Linked DNA regions of Oryzias latipes. The protein of the gene in region 3 binds, or shares a complex with, the protein of the main gene of each other region. Links are inferred from orthologs where the notes say so. Each region holds a gene or a part of one and is shown on either strand. Other genes may lie near its edges. The genes, in order: cpsf6, cirbp and tnpo3.

Region 1 (4,256 bases), about 9.4 Mb from region 3:
TTTCAAACTTCTTTTTTTCTTCCATTTTTGCATGTTAAAAAGATTTACTTCTAATATATTTGTTACCTTTTTTATATTCTTTTTAACTAAAACATTTAAAATGGTCTGACTGAAATTATTATTTTTGTTGTTGTTGTCTTTGGTTGTGTTATTGACAGAGGTAAAATCTAATATATATGAAATGTTTATGATTTTTTTTAGGAGGAGCTAAAACTTGGAATGTGATTTTGTTCTTTTGTTCTGTTTTTTTCCTTTGTAAAACAAACCTGTAAATTGTTCTTATGAAAGTATTACATGGATTAAAGCCATTATTTATAAAATAAAAGATCCACAAAGTTGTTTTTATTACATTTACTTTGACTGTGTGTCATTTCTGTTTGTCTCCTTTTATTCACCTATTATTTATAAACTTATAGTTTCATATAAATGAGCAGTAAATTTATAAAGATATAGTATGATAGCAGTGGTTGTTTCAACAAATTGGATTGTGAATGACAGATGATTTCAAAAAATAAAACTTTATTTTCCAATAAAGTTTTACAAAATTACTTTTTAAGGTAAAATCCTATGTGTTATAGTTATTATTGTATCCTTTACATCAGAGTAAGTATTCAAATGTTGATCAAAAGCCAGATTTAAATTTATTTATATGACATTATTGATAAAATGTCTAATATAGTGTAAAATGTGAGTCTACAAATAATACACCAAAATAGAATGTTTTGTGTCTTGTCAATGTACTTAAAATATTCATTCATTCATTAATTCATTTTCTTAACCGTTTATTCCCTTTCGGGGTCACGGGGCTGCTGGAGCCTATCCCAGCCACTTGGGCGTCTTAAAATATTTATATTTTTAATTTGAAAAAAATATTATAGTATAATTACAGCAATACCTAATACACAGGAAACTATATAGTTGGAGATCATGTTTCACTCTTCTCTTTACACATAACTTTGCTTTTTATTTTCACTTTTAACTTTGTTGTCAAGAATTGTTACAATTTTTATTAAAAGACCATTTCTTCCAGCGATTTGTGTCAAATTTGCTGAAATTTTCAATCAACAAAACAGTAATGGCAGGTGCACAGCTGTACGTAGAAAAAAGCGTGATCTATTCTATCTATTTGAGTTCTTTTAGAAATTGCATTTCCATTGTTGTGAAAATCATTTATTAATAAATAAATAGATATTGAATTCCTCTTTTAAATGCGTAATTACAAAATACATAACAGAATAATTTATATTTTTTATAGATGTCGTATTCAGTAGTATGAATGTTTAAAGTGAAATGCAGATGATCAATGAATCCGTCATTCCCAGCAGAGCAGGCTGTAGTTAGTGAATACGACCAGCAGGGGCGCTGATGCATCTCCCGGAGTTATTGTTTGTAGCTCCGATCCTCTGCACCGCCAGGCGGACGGAGGCACGAAGCAGAGGAAAATGGCGGACGGTGTGGATCATATCGACATCTACGCCGACGTAGAAGAGGAATTTAATCAGGTATTAAAATAAAATATTCTCGAGTTTGTTCAGTGCTTTGAAGTTCTTTTTCTAATTTTTGCAATGGTCTTTTCGGCGTTATAGGAAAAATAGGTGTAATTTGATGCTCGTGCTAGCTTCTCCACTAGCAATACACACACAGGCCTCTGTCAGTCAGTGTGCTGCGTTGGTTGCAGCATAGATAGCAAACTTCTGTACAATAGATCTGCATTTTTTATTCAAACAGTAGTACACATGTGGAGGTAAATGTGATGTGGGTTATTATTTAGAATATGTACATTTTTGTCCATCAGCAAAGCGTCTAGCAGCCTTTTCAGTGGAGCGCGCGTATAGGCCGCGCAGTGTGTGCTTTCTTTTTTTTTTTTTCTCCCGACGGAGGCTGTTAACCAAACACGCATTTCATGATAAGCTAGCTGGTGTTGGTTAACTTCACACGTTTAATTGGTTTACTGTATTGGACGTGGGTTATAGTTTGGATCAAATGTAACTTGGTGTACTTTTAAAAACGTCAAAAATAAAAACAAAAGGGGAAAACACGAGTTACACGGCTTCCATTCTGGCAGCAGGTTGGGTCATCATGCATGGTGGGTGTTTTTTTTTATTCTTGCGCGCGCGCACATTAAAAACCGCGCCCCCCTTTTTAGACCGCATACTAAAATCATAACTTACTGACATTTGTTTTGCACAGAATTTGTTATGGTATTATACTGTCGGAGCTAAACATTTAAAAATAAATGTTTTTTTTCCTTGTTTCTTATTAAAATTGTTTAGCTAAACTTAATTAAGAGCCAGTGACTTAAAAATTATTAGTCATGTTTTAGTTTTTTTTAACATTTCTTTAAGTTTACTACTCTTTTTTTCCTCATAAAGCGTGACATAAAATAAAGAGAAAAAAATGCTTTTGGAATTTAATTAATTTAAATCAATTTATTATAGTAATTTGCTTTTTCTAGTAACCATTTTTACTTTTAAATTCTGGTGTAATTTCTTTTATTTCAGCTTCTTCTTGTTGACTAACTCTCTAGCACTATTTGGTCTCCATGTTTTATTATAGCTGCAGCAATTTCCAGTAAAACAGGGAGCTAAGTAAGCGTCTGGTGATATGCAGTAAACTTCTATAGATTAGGGGTCAACAGCATTTGTGACATAAAGTGCCATTTTGAAATTTAGAATGTAAAAAAGTTCAATATGTCTAGAAATGTATTTAATTCCCAACAGCAGGCATTTTGGCATTACCTCAAAGACGTTCTTTCATAACAATATTGCACAAGGAAAATAGGCCAAACTTAAAAAGTGAACTTAAATAACTTAAAACTATGTTAGTTTGAAACAAAAAGTACAGCATTTGTGGTACATCATACTGTATACGTCATGTAAATTAAATCTATCATGGTGTTTTTATTGCATGTAAAAGTAAATGTTTTACTTTGACCTTAGAATGCTAATTATAGTAATATAAATTTTCCACAATTGGACATTCTTCATTTTTTTTCACCCCCAGTAAATGGAGTGGCGATCAGCTGTACTATTCATTTTAAAACTTTTTCTCATTTCACATTTACATTTGTCAGAACATAAAAAAGTCAGGGTATAATCTGACCTTATTTGGTATTATCAACAAACTGAGCTTATAACTTCATAAATGGCAGTCGCTGTGACATCCTAAATATAATTAAAAAACCGGCTGTGCATTCATTAACCTTTAGCGCGTTTCCCGCTTATGCATGCGCTCATCGTATTGCCCCACCTGTCATCTCACCGCCAACAGCTTCAAAACACAGGGTCATTACGTCACCGTGGCAAACTTGTTTTTTTTGCCTGCAGTGCACAATCATTTAAATCACCCGTTCATAAAGGCAGAAAGTAACGTACATTGTGTGAAACTAGGCCTGCACAATATATCGCAAATTTATCGTTATCGCGACATTAAGCTGTGCAATATGCATACCACAAAAGACGGCGAAAATCGCAATAAATGGTTACCTTAAATGTGCTAAAACAATCTCGTGGCAGCTTGAAATATTGAACAAATGAAATAAATCCCTTTATGCATTTAACCAATCGGAAGGACCCATTTACGTTGTTGATCAATCAGATGAGCCCTTTTATGTTTGATGTTTGCCTCCTATGTCGACAAGGGTCATTTGGAGTATAATTTTTAAACTGTTGCAGTGAAATGGAAATTATGTTTTTGGTTGTTTTGCTGTTTGTTTATATACCGCGAATCATATCGTTATCGCAATATTAATCACCAATATCGCATATCGCGAGTTTTCCTCATATCGTGCAGCCCTATGTGAAACTATAAAAGTGGTTGGGGTCACAGTAACAGCGCTGCTTGAATGGACCATTTCCTTTTGGCCCCATAGGGGTGACAAAAGCTCATTGTGAGAAGAGATTGTCACTGTTTTTAATCCCGAAAGATGCAAAGAGGCGACAGATCCAAGTGGTTAATGTTGTCACAGCCACTGTCTTTCCCTCTGCGTCCCAGTTGTGGCAAACTGCCAATTCGATAAGCAACTTACCTTAGATTAGACAGATACATCTGTTTCAATCGTAAGAAAATAAATCGATTCGTTGATTAATCGTTACACCCCTGTACATTACTAAAAATAATATCCATCCATAATATCTTTCACTTAAAAGATGCATTTCTACATCCCCAGTTTTTATAAACGTTGAGCCACAGTTTCAGGTTCTTGTGGAATTGAACCCCACATGTTTTGCTTTAACTGTGTTAACTCATTTTTCTTT
Region 2 (4,174 bases), on a different chromosome or scaffold from region 3:
GGGGGACAGTCAGGGGCGCGAGTCGAGCCGGAGACAGGATCCACAGCCAGGTGTAGAAGCAGTAGTAGAGGCGAGCCAGAGACAAGGTACACGGTCAGGTACAGGAGCACGGATTAGCCAACTGGAATCTGGAAGCACTCCCACTCACCTGGAGGGGAGAGGGAAAGAAGGACAGTACATGAATCGCACTGCACCAAACAGAGGCATGGAGAACTAAATTATGAATAATGATCAAGAATAGAGAGGAGAAGAAGGGTAGAAGCATAAAGAGGACAGAACCCCAATGCATCATACTAGTAAAAAAAAATGACTGTCATATGGTTCCTCAGGATTCAAGTTTGTTTTCTGAATTAGAAAATCTTTATCCTTAACATTTTCAGTGAAAAAAATTCTTAGCCTTTAAAATTTGGGTTGCTGTTTGGAAAAAATAAACCTTTGTTGTCTTATTTCCAACTCAAAAAGTGCACTCTGGCACAGGTTAGGATGCAGCAGTAGATTATTTTGAATCTCTGTAAATGTTCTCAGCTTCAGGAATGCAGGAAAGTTAATGTAATTATTCAGTACCTAACTTCATCTGTTAGGTGGAGTCAGAGGATATGAATAAAACATGCATGTGTGAATATGAAAAAATGTGCTTTCAATATTTAGCTTTCTTAAACTGTTTCTTTTAAAATTCTTGTAGTTTTGAAAATGGCACATAATAAAATTTTATTTTCATAGATATATAAAATTTTGCTTTCAAGTGTGATCCTCAATGTCCAAAATGGAACAATCAGAAAATGGCACGAATTCCCTTTTGATTATAAAATAGATTAGTTTGAAGTAAGTTATATATTGCTCTGCTAATAAATTCTACAAAAACGGTTTAAATTTTACAACTTTAAGAGACCCACGTTTTCTCCAAAAAATGTGGTTTAATTAAACAGAAAAGGCAAAAAAAGACGTATTTAACACATGCCGAACTTACAGCAGAAACATGTTTTGTTCAAAATACAAAAACGATCGTAACACTTAAGAGATGTATGAAAGCAAAAAGAAGCATACTAGCAAACTATAAAAGAAGCAAACTTTATTGTAAAATTCAAAAACAACAACCCAACAAAATAAACGACTTTTAACTTTGACTAGTAGGCAAGAGAAGGGTTTAAAATTGCTTTTCGAACAGTATTTTCTTTTGAGGGTTAAATGCCTTTTTCCTTACAGAACAACACGTGGGCTTAGTTTCGGTCTCTAAAATCTCTTTGTTTGGTGTCGTTTTCCGGGTCCAACCGCCAGAATTTCCTGAACAGTAGGTGGCGGTATTAGCCTTTAAAGTTACAATGCGGGATTTCAGAGCTCTAAACCACCATAGAAGAAGAAGATGCAGCTTGTATAAATACGAAGGACCGTTCCCTCCCCCGCCATTTATCTGCATTGCAGCACCGTGCGTCTTTCTCTCCATCCCTTGTAAGGACAAAGGTAATCGCAGTCTTTTTTTAAACTGTGTTGAAATGGTGAAATATGGTGCTTATGTTTGCTTTAAAGAGCAAGTGACCTAAATGTTTTTCTTCGCAATCTAACTTGTCTTAGGAAAATCATAATTTTTAAATTTAGGATTTTCAATCTTAAAATGCGTAAAAAACTAACTATATTTTGCAGTAATTGTATGAGTAATAGTAGGTTAAACTGTCGTTGACCTAATTTTCTCAAAGTGGGGCACTTATGTAACCTTGAAAAGAGGCTTTGCGGACTCGTGGCGAAGTAGGTCATTGAACAAAGAAGACGAGCTCGACGCCACAAAATGGCGCTGGGTGAAAAAATTAAATCCTTCGCAGCACCATCTATTTGTACCGTTTCGTTGTGTTTAAGGTGCATATAGCCAATATTAATTGTGAGTAATGTATTATGGTATGTTTTCATAAAAACAACTTAAATTTTAAGTTAAATTTAAGGCGGTCCAGCTTTGGCGCTAAAGTGCGCAACGTGCGGTCGCCATTTTGAGTCGTCTCGCTGACCTACTTTCACAATGCCCCACCCTAGTAACCCTTAATGCTCGATGTTTCCTTTCATTTATTCATGTATTCTTTTTTTAATAATCGATTTGGTTTCTCTTTATATGCAGCTATCCCTTAAAATGTCGGACGAAGGCAAACTTTTTATTGGAGGTCTGAGCTTCGAGACCAACGAAGACTCTCTTGCCGCCGCTTTTGGCAAATATGGAACCATCGAAAAAGGTAAACATTTGACGGTGCTTTAAAATTTGTATAAACACTAGTGTCGTTATTTTTTTTTTACAATTTTTTTTTTTGGTCTTTTCAGTCGATGTGATCAGAGACAAAGAGACCGGAAGATCACGTGGTTTCGGCTTTGTGAAGTACGACAATGTTGAAGATGCTAAAGATGCGCTGGACGCAATGAACGGAAAGGTATGTTGTCGATTATTTATTTCTTGCTTAAGAAGTTTTGTTTTAAAAATAAAATTAAAATTTCATGCATTTTGTTCCCCAGACGCTTGATGGCCGGGCGATCCGAGTGGACGAAGCAGGGAAGGGAGGTCGCGCCAGAGGAGGATTTTCATCAGGCCCGCGCGGTGGACGCTTCAGCGGATCAAGGGGTAGGGGCGGCCGTGGTTTCTCCAGGGGTGAGAACTGCTGAAGAATAAAAACCTCGCTCCACTTTAAATTTGGTGCGGTAAACCCTATTTTAATCCGTTGTTTCTTTCATGTTTATAGGTGGCTACAACAGCGACAGAGGCTACGGAGACAGAAGTTATGGCGACAGGAGCTTTGGAGGCGGAGACAGGAGCTTTGGTGGAAGCGGTGGCGGATTCAGAAGTGGTGGATACTCATCCAGCGGCTACAGAGACAATAGGTAAGTTTAATCATTTTTTATTGTTGAATGATCGCATAATGAGGTGAATTAATAATTTTTATCATTCATATAGGGGGCAGGGAGGATATGGTGACCGATCTGGGTCTTACAGGGACGGCTATGACAGCTATGGTAAGCATTGAGCTTTAATCACACTTTGGGGCTAAAAGACTATAATCATTAGGATTGTAGCGTTTTTAGGAACAAGTTTAATGCCTAGTCATAAATGCAGCTCGTGATGGGGTGTCCTCAACCTTTAGTTGGTACAACTTGATCTCGAATCTGCCCCTTGTTGCAAAAAAAGACCTCAATCCCTCTCATATTACGAATTTCCGAACTTTGCACAAGAGGATGGAGGAGAAAACGAAATAATGCTGCCACCTCTAAAGTTGCCTTGTCCTATGACGGTGCCTCTTTGACAGAATAAAGGGAGGGTTAGTATACTACCTGGTGGGATGAAGAATGTAATGAAACTCCAGTGTCGGAACTTTCAGTGTCTTCACCTTTTTGCCCACTTCTGCTCCCCCAGCTTCACACGAGTAAACACCTCCTTGAATCAAGACCATCACTTGGCTGGCTGTTTTTGAAAGATGCTCTCCTCAAGAAAATTGTCCATGTATTTTGCTGACCTGTTTTGTAGTTCGCCACCTTAAGTGTAGTTGTTAATTTGCTCCTCAAAACCTGTTACAACAGTTAACGAGTCTTGCCTGGCTCAATTTGACAACTTCCTACAGCTTTGATTCGATCTGTCCTTGGTAGAGCACAGAGCCATTCTCAATTTGGGAGCTTCTGATAGCTCAGCGACAGCTTTGCTGTAGACCTTTTTTGTCTGACACTTTACATGTGTTCTAATATAATTTTCAATTTTTATTATAAAGTATAATGGGGCATAGTTTTCCTTGGTCAATCATCTACCTCCTTAAGAGTTTTAAATTGAGTAAGGAAAAAGCTTAAATAGTTTTGGGGTTTATGGATGAAGTCCTTTTCCTATTGAGAGAACCTTCATTCAGCCAAGGCTCCTTTCTGTTCCATTTCCCAAAAGAGTGAATGCCTTTGACTGGTGAACTACACATCCGAAGTGGCCGGCTGTTCATGAAGTTGCACAATGCAGCATGCTACAGTCTGTCCAAGGTATCTTCTGTGCTCTCTGCTCAACGTCTGCATTATAAATGTGCTGTAAAATGGACTGTTTAAAGTGATTCAAAATGTAATTTCGTTTACCCAAAAGTTTAGTCTAAAGCGGGAACAGTTTTGTACTTTTTGTTCTTTGTATGATACAAGAATATTTTTTTTTGTCAGTTTGGCTTCATGGAGCCTATTAAAC
Region 3 (4,200 bases):
GTAAATGACATTTACGTCACACATTAGTCCACTCATGTGAGTGTATTCTGTGTTATTGGTGAAGATGTTATCAATAAGAGCAGCACTTTGAGTAGAGGAAACAGTTATTGCCCCTGATGATGCCACACCAGGGAGGAAGCAGCTCTTGGGTTCTCCTGGCCAGGCTGTCAATCAAACCCAGCCTCAGAAACCTGGGGGTCATTTCAGTCCAAACAGCTGATCCAGAACTGTTTCCTCCAGACGAAGAACATTTCTAAGCTCAGTGTCATATGAAGATCTGGAACTTCTTATTCATGCCTTTGTTTCTACACGGTTAGACTTCTGTGACACTCTGTTTTCCTGTCTGAATCAGAAGGAGCTGTCTCGTCTGCAGCTGATCCAGAACTCTGCTGAGAGGATCCTGACCCGCACTAAGAGAACCAATCCCACCCCCCCGATCCTAAAAGCTCTCCATCGGCTCCCGGTTGTTTACCGGTTTCAGTATAGAGTCTAGGTGTTGACTTTTAGGGCCTCCATGGTCAAACTGCTCCGTGTGTCTGTGACCTGATCGCCCCCTACAGACCATCTGGTGCACTGAGGTCTGTGGATCAGAACCTGTTGATGGTTCCAGGAAAACGGTTCTGGACCAGAGGAGACAGAACCTCGCGGGCTGCTGCTCTGGACTCTGTGCATTCTTGTCAAAGTCAACAGGAAACGTTTTATTTTGCATTGCAACGGTTTTATTTGGCTTCAGAGGAATGTCTCCATGGTCCATGTTTAGTCTCTGGTGTTTTTTCACCCTGTGTCTCATCTTGTGACTTCTGTTCTGTGAACAGCTCTAGAAATCACGTCTACTGACTGACGTCCAGCCTTTACAGGTATTAAGGCCGAGTTGAACCAGAACCAGAACCAGAACAGGGTTTATCTCCACAAAGACGGTAGATTCGTGAACGCTTCTCCGTAATCCCTCCATCATCCTCCGACCTCTCTTTAAAGTTGTCATGTTTCCTCTGAACATTTCTGATTTTCTTTCAGAAATGATCCAGAATCTGTTTGCTGTCGATAAATCGGAGTCACAGAAGTCCTGAAATGGTTGAGAAACATATTAAGCAGAAAGTGATCACTTCCCACGTCCAGAACTCTCAAAACACCTTTTTTGGGTCATCTTTACACTTCCGCTGACGCAATCACTACGTCACAAACGGCGAGGTCCGGGTCTGCACAGTTCAGGGTCTATTCTCGTGGCTGTCCCGGTTCTTCTTCATTGGTCTAGAACGGTTCGGAACGGTTCGGTTCCCGAGAAGGAAAAGAGCGGGCAGACGGAGGCAGGCGGCGCGCAGGCGCAGACGGACCCTTCTGTGTCACACTGAAATCAGCGCGGAACTAAAGTTCCCGCTCGAGTTTCCGCAGGAGTACGATCAATGCCGCACGCCCGAAGTCTGTGCGAGATGGCGGTCGGAACCCGGACAGCGTAGAACTCTCTCCGAACCGTCTGTGAAGTGGTATCGTCCCTCTGAGCCGCGATGGAGGGTGGGAAACCGAACCTGGCTCTGGTCTACCAGGCGGTCCAGGCCCTGTACAACGACCCGGACCCAGCGGGGAAGGAGCGAGCCTCGGTGTGGCTCGGGGAGCTGCAGAGATCGGTGAGAGCGCAGCGTTGGGCCGGGCCGGCGGGGTGTTGGTGGGGCCGGTGTGGGTTTGGACCGATCACCTGCTCGGACAGGTGCGCTAATGCGCAGTCTCAGAGGAGCTTCCTCTTCGGTCCTCTTGCTAAGCTAACGGGATGAATGGGCTCGAGCCGAACCGCGCCGGTCCCCTTTGGGTTTGGGGCTCATGGGCGCGGACAGAACTTGTCCCGCGCGCCTCCTCTCGAGTTCTGTGGTGTTTTGGAGAACATGGGGGGGTCTATATGGGGGGTCTGAGCCCCAGCGGCCCGGCGCTGTTAGCCGGGCTAATGTAGCTGCTGGACCGACTTCCTGTTGAAGCTGCGCAGATCCCGAAGCGGCTGCCTCTGTCCACGTCACTGCTGACGGTCGGGCGCATGCGTGCGATCACTGACAGCTCAGGTGCGCGTGCCCCCGCTCCGCCCTAAGCCAGCCGAGTCTGTCGGACCCAAACAGAAACCGAGCCGACGCCAGGCTCCGCTGGCTGATGGGGGGGAGGAGGCAGATGTTTGGGTCTGGGGGCAACAGAGTTTTAAAAGCTGCTCAGATCCAGAAGCCCACGCAGACCTGGACCCAGACAGCCAGGGGGACATTATGGACTGGGCTTGTCAGTCCAGGTGACAGAAGAACCTTGGTCAGAAGCTCAGCTCAGACCAGAACAGGTCCGGGTGTTGGTTGGGTTCCTGCTCAGCACCAGAAGGCCCAATTTGAGCTGGTTCTGATATAAATAGATGTTGCTTTTTACTGCTTATGGGTTCTGTTGGGAGCAGAGTGATGGACCACTCAGTGACATCACTTCCTGTCCTGCAGATGTACGCCTGGGAGATTTCAGACCAGCTGCTGCAGCTCAGACAGGACGTTGAGTCCTGTTACTTTGCTGCTCAGACCATGAAGATGAAGATCCAGATGTGCTTCTACGAGCTTCCACCAGAAACCCACAATGCACTACGGGATTCTCTCCTGACCCACATCCAGAACCTCAAAGACCTGTCGCCCATCATCGTCACACAGGTAAGGGCACCTGCAGCTCTGCAGAACCTCTGGTTCTGGATGGAAACACTCGCCTGTCTCCTCGTGTGAGGTCACTTCCTGTTTCCTGTCTCTGTATCTCCTCTGCAAACCTCAGTTTGTGGAAAAACGTAAGGTTCTGCATAAAACCTCCAAAGTGAGGTGAAGTCATCAGGATTCACTGAATCTGATTCCAGGGAAGTGCGGTTATTAGGACCGTCCTAGACCGAGTCTCGGTTCCTTCTGGATCAAATTCTGACATGGCCTCAGTTTTTCTGACAAGTCTATCGGAGGACGTTCTAGTTCTGCAGGTTCTGTAGCCCTGTAGAAGCACACAGCATAGAACTCCTCATTAAGCGGGGATTTACTGGACAGTTGTCTGTGAGGAACCCAGAACTGTTGACATCTAGGGTTGTGCCGATGGACCATATCATCGTCCATCGTGATGGGTGACTGACATCCCGATGGAGAGACACCATCGTGATGCCACGCCCCCGCCACGTTGCGAGTCGACACCATAAGCCCCGGTTACATGTACAAAATATCTTGATGGGATCAATGGTCGGATTAGAATCCAACCGTGTACATGGGCCCAGAAAAATGTTTTCAGAATATAAAAACGTTCACTAAGGTCACACTTTCAGTCGGAATAAATCATTCGCACATGCGCAGTAGGGTTTGAAAAACCGGAAGCGGATATCAGTTCCGCCGAGCGGCTATTTTTATCTCAAACTTTATTGAATGTAACAATTCAATACAAAACAATGTTAAACAGCGCTGAGCGGCTAGTTACATTGACATGTCAGCTCGGTAAAATACGAGATGATCTTCTAAACGTGCTTTTAATAATGTTACGGTTACTATGAAACACCTGTTCGCTCATCATTTGAATTTTAATCCGTGTGGTCAGGGCTTTTTCTGAACGAAGCCAGAGTTAGCAGTATGCTAACACGGGCTAACAACAATAGCTTTGGGTGGCGCTGCAATCTGCATCTTGGCTGCATGTAAACATGTGGGAATAACATCAGCCTTTATTTAGTCGGGACACGACTGGAAACACAAATCCACGTGATTGTTTGAACGATTTCTAAGGACTGAGCGACATTTCTGCTTTGAAGCTCACACCGCCCCAAAGCGCTGTGTGTGTGCTCACGATCCTCTGCTCAGACACACACTTTTAGACCCGGTTCTGAGTTCGGTAGGCCGTTCACCTAGAGCTGCGGGACGGATCGCAGTTCTAAATCTCCCACATAGCGCTCATGTAACAAAGCACCCCCCCCCCCCCCCCCCCCCTTCCACTCAAACACAAAGCTGTAAGTCCGCGCTCCGCCGGTCCACTTGACTAGTGAAGTGTGGGAGCCGACCATTTCTTCTAGTTTGTTTGTTACTTTTTTAAAGTCACTTCCCTCAGTTTATACTGGATCATTGCGGATTAGTCATTAGTTGGGAAATAAAATAAAGTAAAATAACGAATAGCAGTTATATAAGACCGAAAAATGTAAAAATACCCCCCCCCCCCTCCATGGGAACAGGAACTGTGGGAGGGAGG

The links.
Region 1: the proteins of tnpo3 (region 3) and cpsf6 are in contact, whole or in part, in a crystal structure (PDB 6GX9), measured with the Homo sapiens proteins. The link is inferred for Oryzias latipes from reciprocal best matches to the Homo sapiens genes TNPO3 and CPSF6. Residues at the interface, in NP_036602.1 of Homo sapiens: Arg620, Asn656, Arg657, Glu660, Arg661, Arg664, Arg667, Phe668, Arg671, Ser698, Cys699, Tyr702, Ile706, Asp709, Asp747, Asp750, Asp751, Arg754, Arg758, Gln761, Cys793, Arg797; in NP_008938.2 of Homo sapiens: Tyr521, Arg522, Glu523, Arg524, Ser525, Glu527, Arg528.
Region 2: the proteins of tnpo3 (region 3) and cirbp are in contact, whole or in part, in a crystal structure (PDB 8CMK), measured with the Homo sapiens proteins. The link is inferred for Oryzias latipes from reciprocal best matches to the Homo sapiens genes TNPO3 and CIRBP. Residues at the interface, in NP_036602.1 of Homo sapiens: Arg620, Glu660, Arg661, Cys663, Arg664, Arg667, Phe668, Arg671, Ser698, Cys699, Tyr702, Ser705, Ile706, Asp709, Glu710, Asp747, Asp750, Asp751, Arg754, Arg758; in NP_001271.1 of Homo sapiens: Tyr160, Arg161, Ser163, Tyr164, Asp165, Ser166, Tyr167, Ala168.

What each region holds. Positions count from the first base shown.
Region 1 is NC_019881.2:14,392,047-14,396,302, reverse strand, and holds the start of cpsf6 (cleavage and polyadenylation specificity factor subunit 6), read left to right. Parts: upstream 1-1,391; 5' UTR 1,392-1,442; coding exon 1,443-1,502; intron 1,503-4,256. UniProt on the Homo sapiens protein: Component of the cleavage factor Im (CFIm) complex that functions as an activator of the pre-mRNA 3'-end cleavage and polyadenylation processing required for the maturation of pre-mRNA into functional mRNAs.
Region 2 is NC_019875.2:22,782,515-22,786,688, forward strand, and holds the start of cirbp (cold-inducible RNA-binding protein), read left to right. Parts: upstream 1-1,332; 5' UTR 1,333-1,458; intron 1,459-2,101; 5' UTR 2,102-2,113; coding exon 2,114-2,213; intron 2,214-2,298; coding exon 2,299-2,405; intron 2,406-2,487; coding exon 2,488-2,620; intron 2,621-2,711; coding exon 2,712-2,850; intron 2,851-2,923; coding exon 2,924-2,982; intron 2,983-3,379; coding exon 3,380-3,393; 3' UTR 3,394-3,892; coding exon of another isoform or gene 3,893-3,897; 3' UTR 3,898-4,174. UniProt on the Homo sapiens protein: Cold-inducible mRNA binding protein that plays a protective role in the genotoxic stress response by stabilizing transcripts of genes involved in cell survival. Acts as a translational activator.
Region 3 is NC_019881.2:23,831,660-23,835,859, forward strand, and holds the start of tnpo3 (transportin-3), read left to right. Parts: upstream 1-1,387; 5' UTR 1,388-1,502; coding exon 1,503-1,622; intron 1,623-2,453; coding exon 2,454-2,654; intron 2,655-4,200. UniProt on the Homo sapiens protein: Importin, which transports target proteins into the nucleus. Specifically mediates the nuclear import of splicing factor serine/arginine (SR) proteins, such as RBM4, SFRS1 and SFRS2, by recognizing phosphorylated SR domains.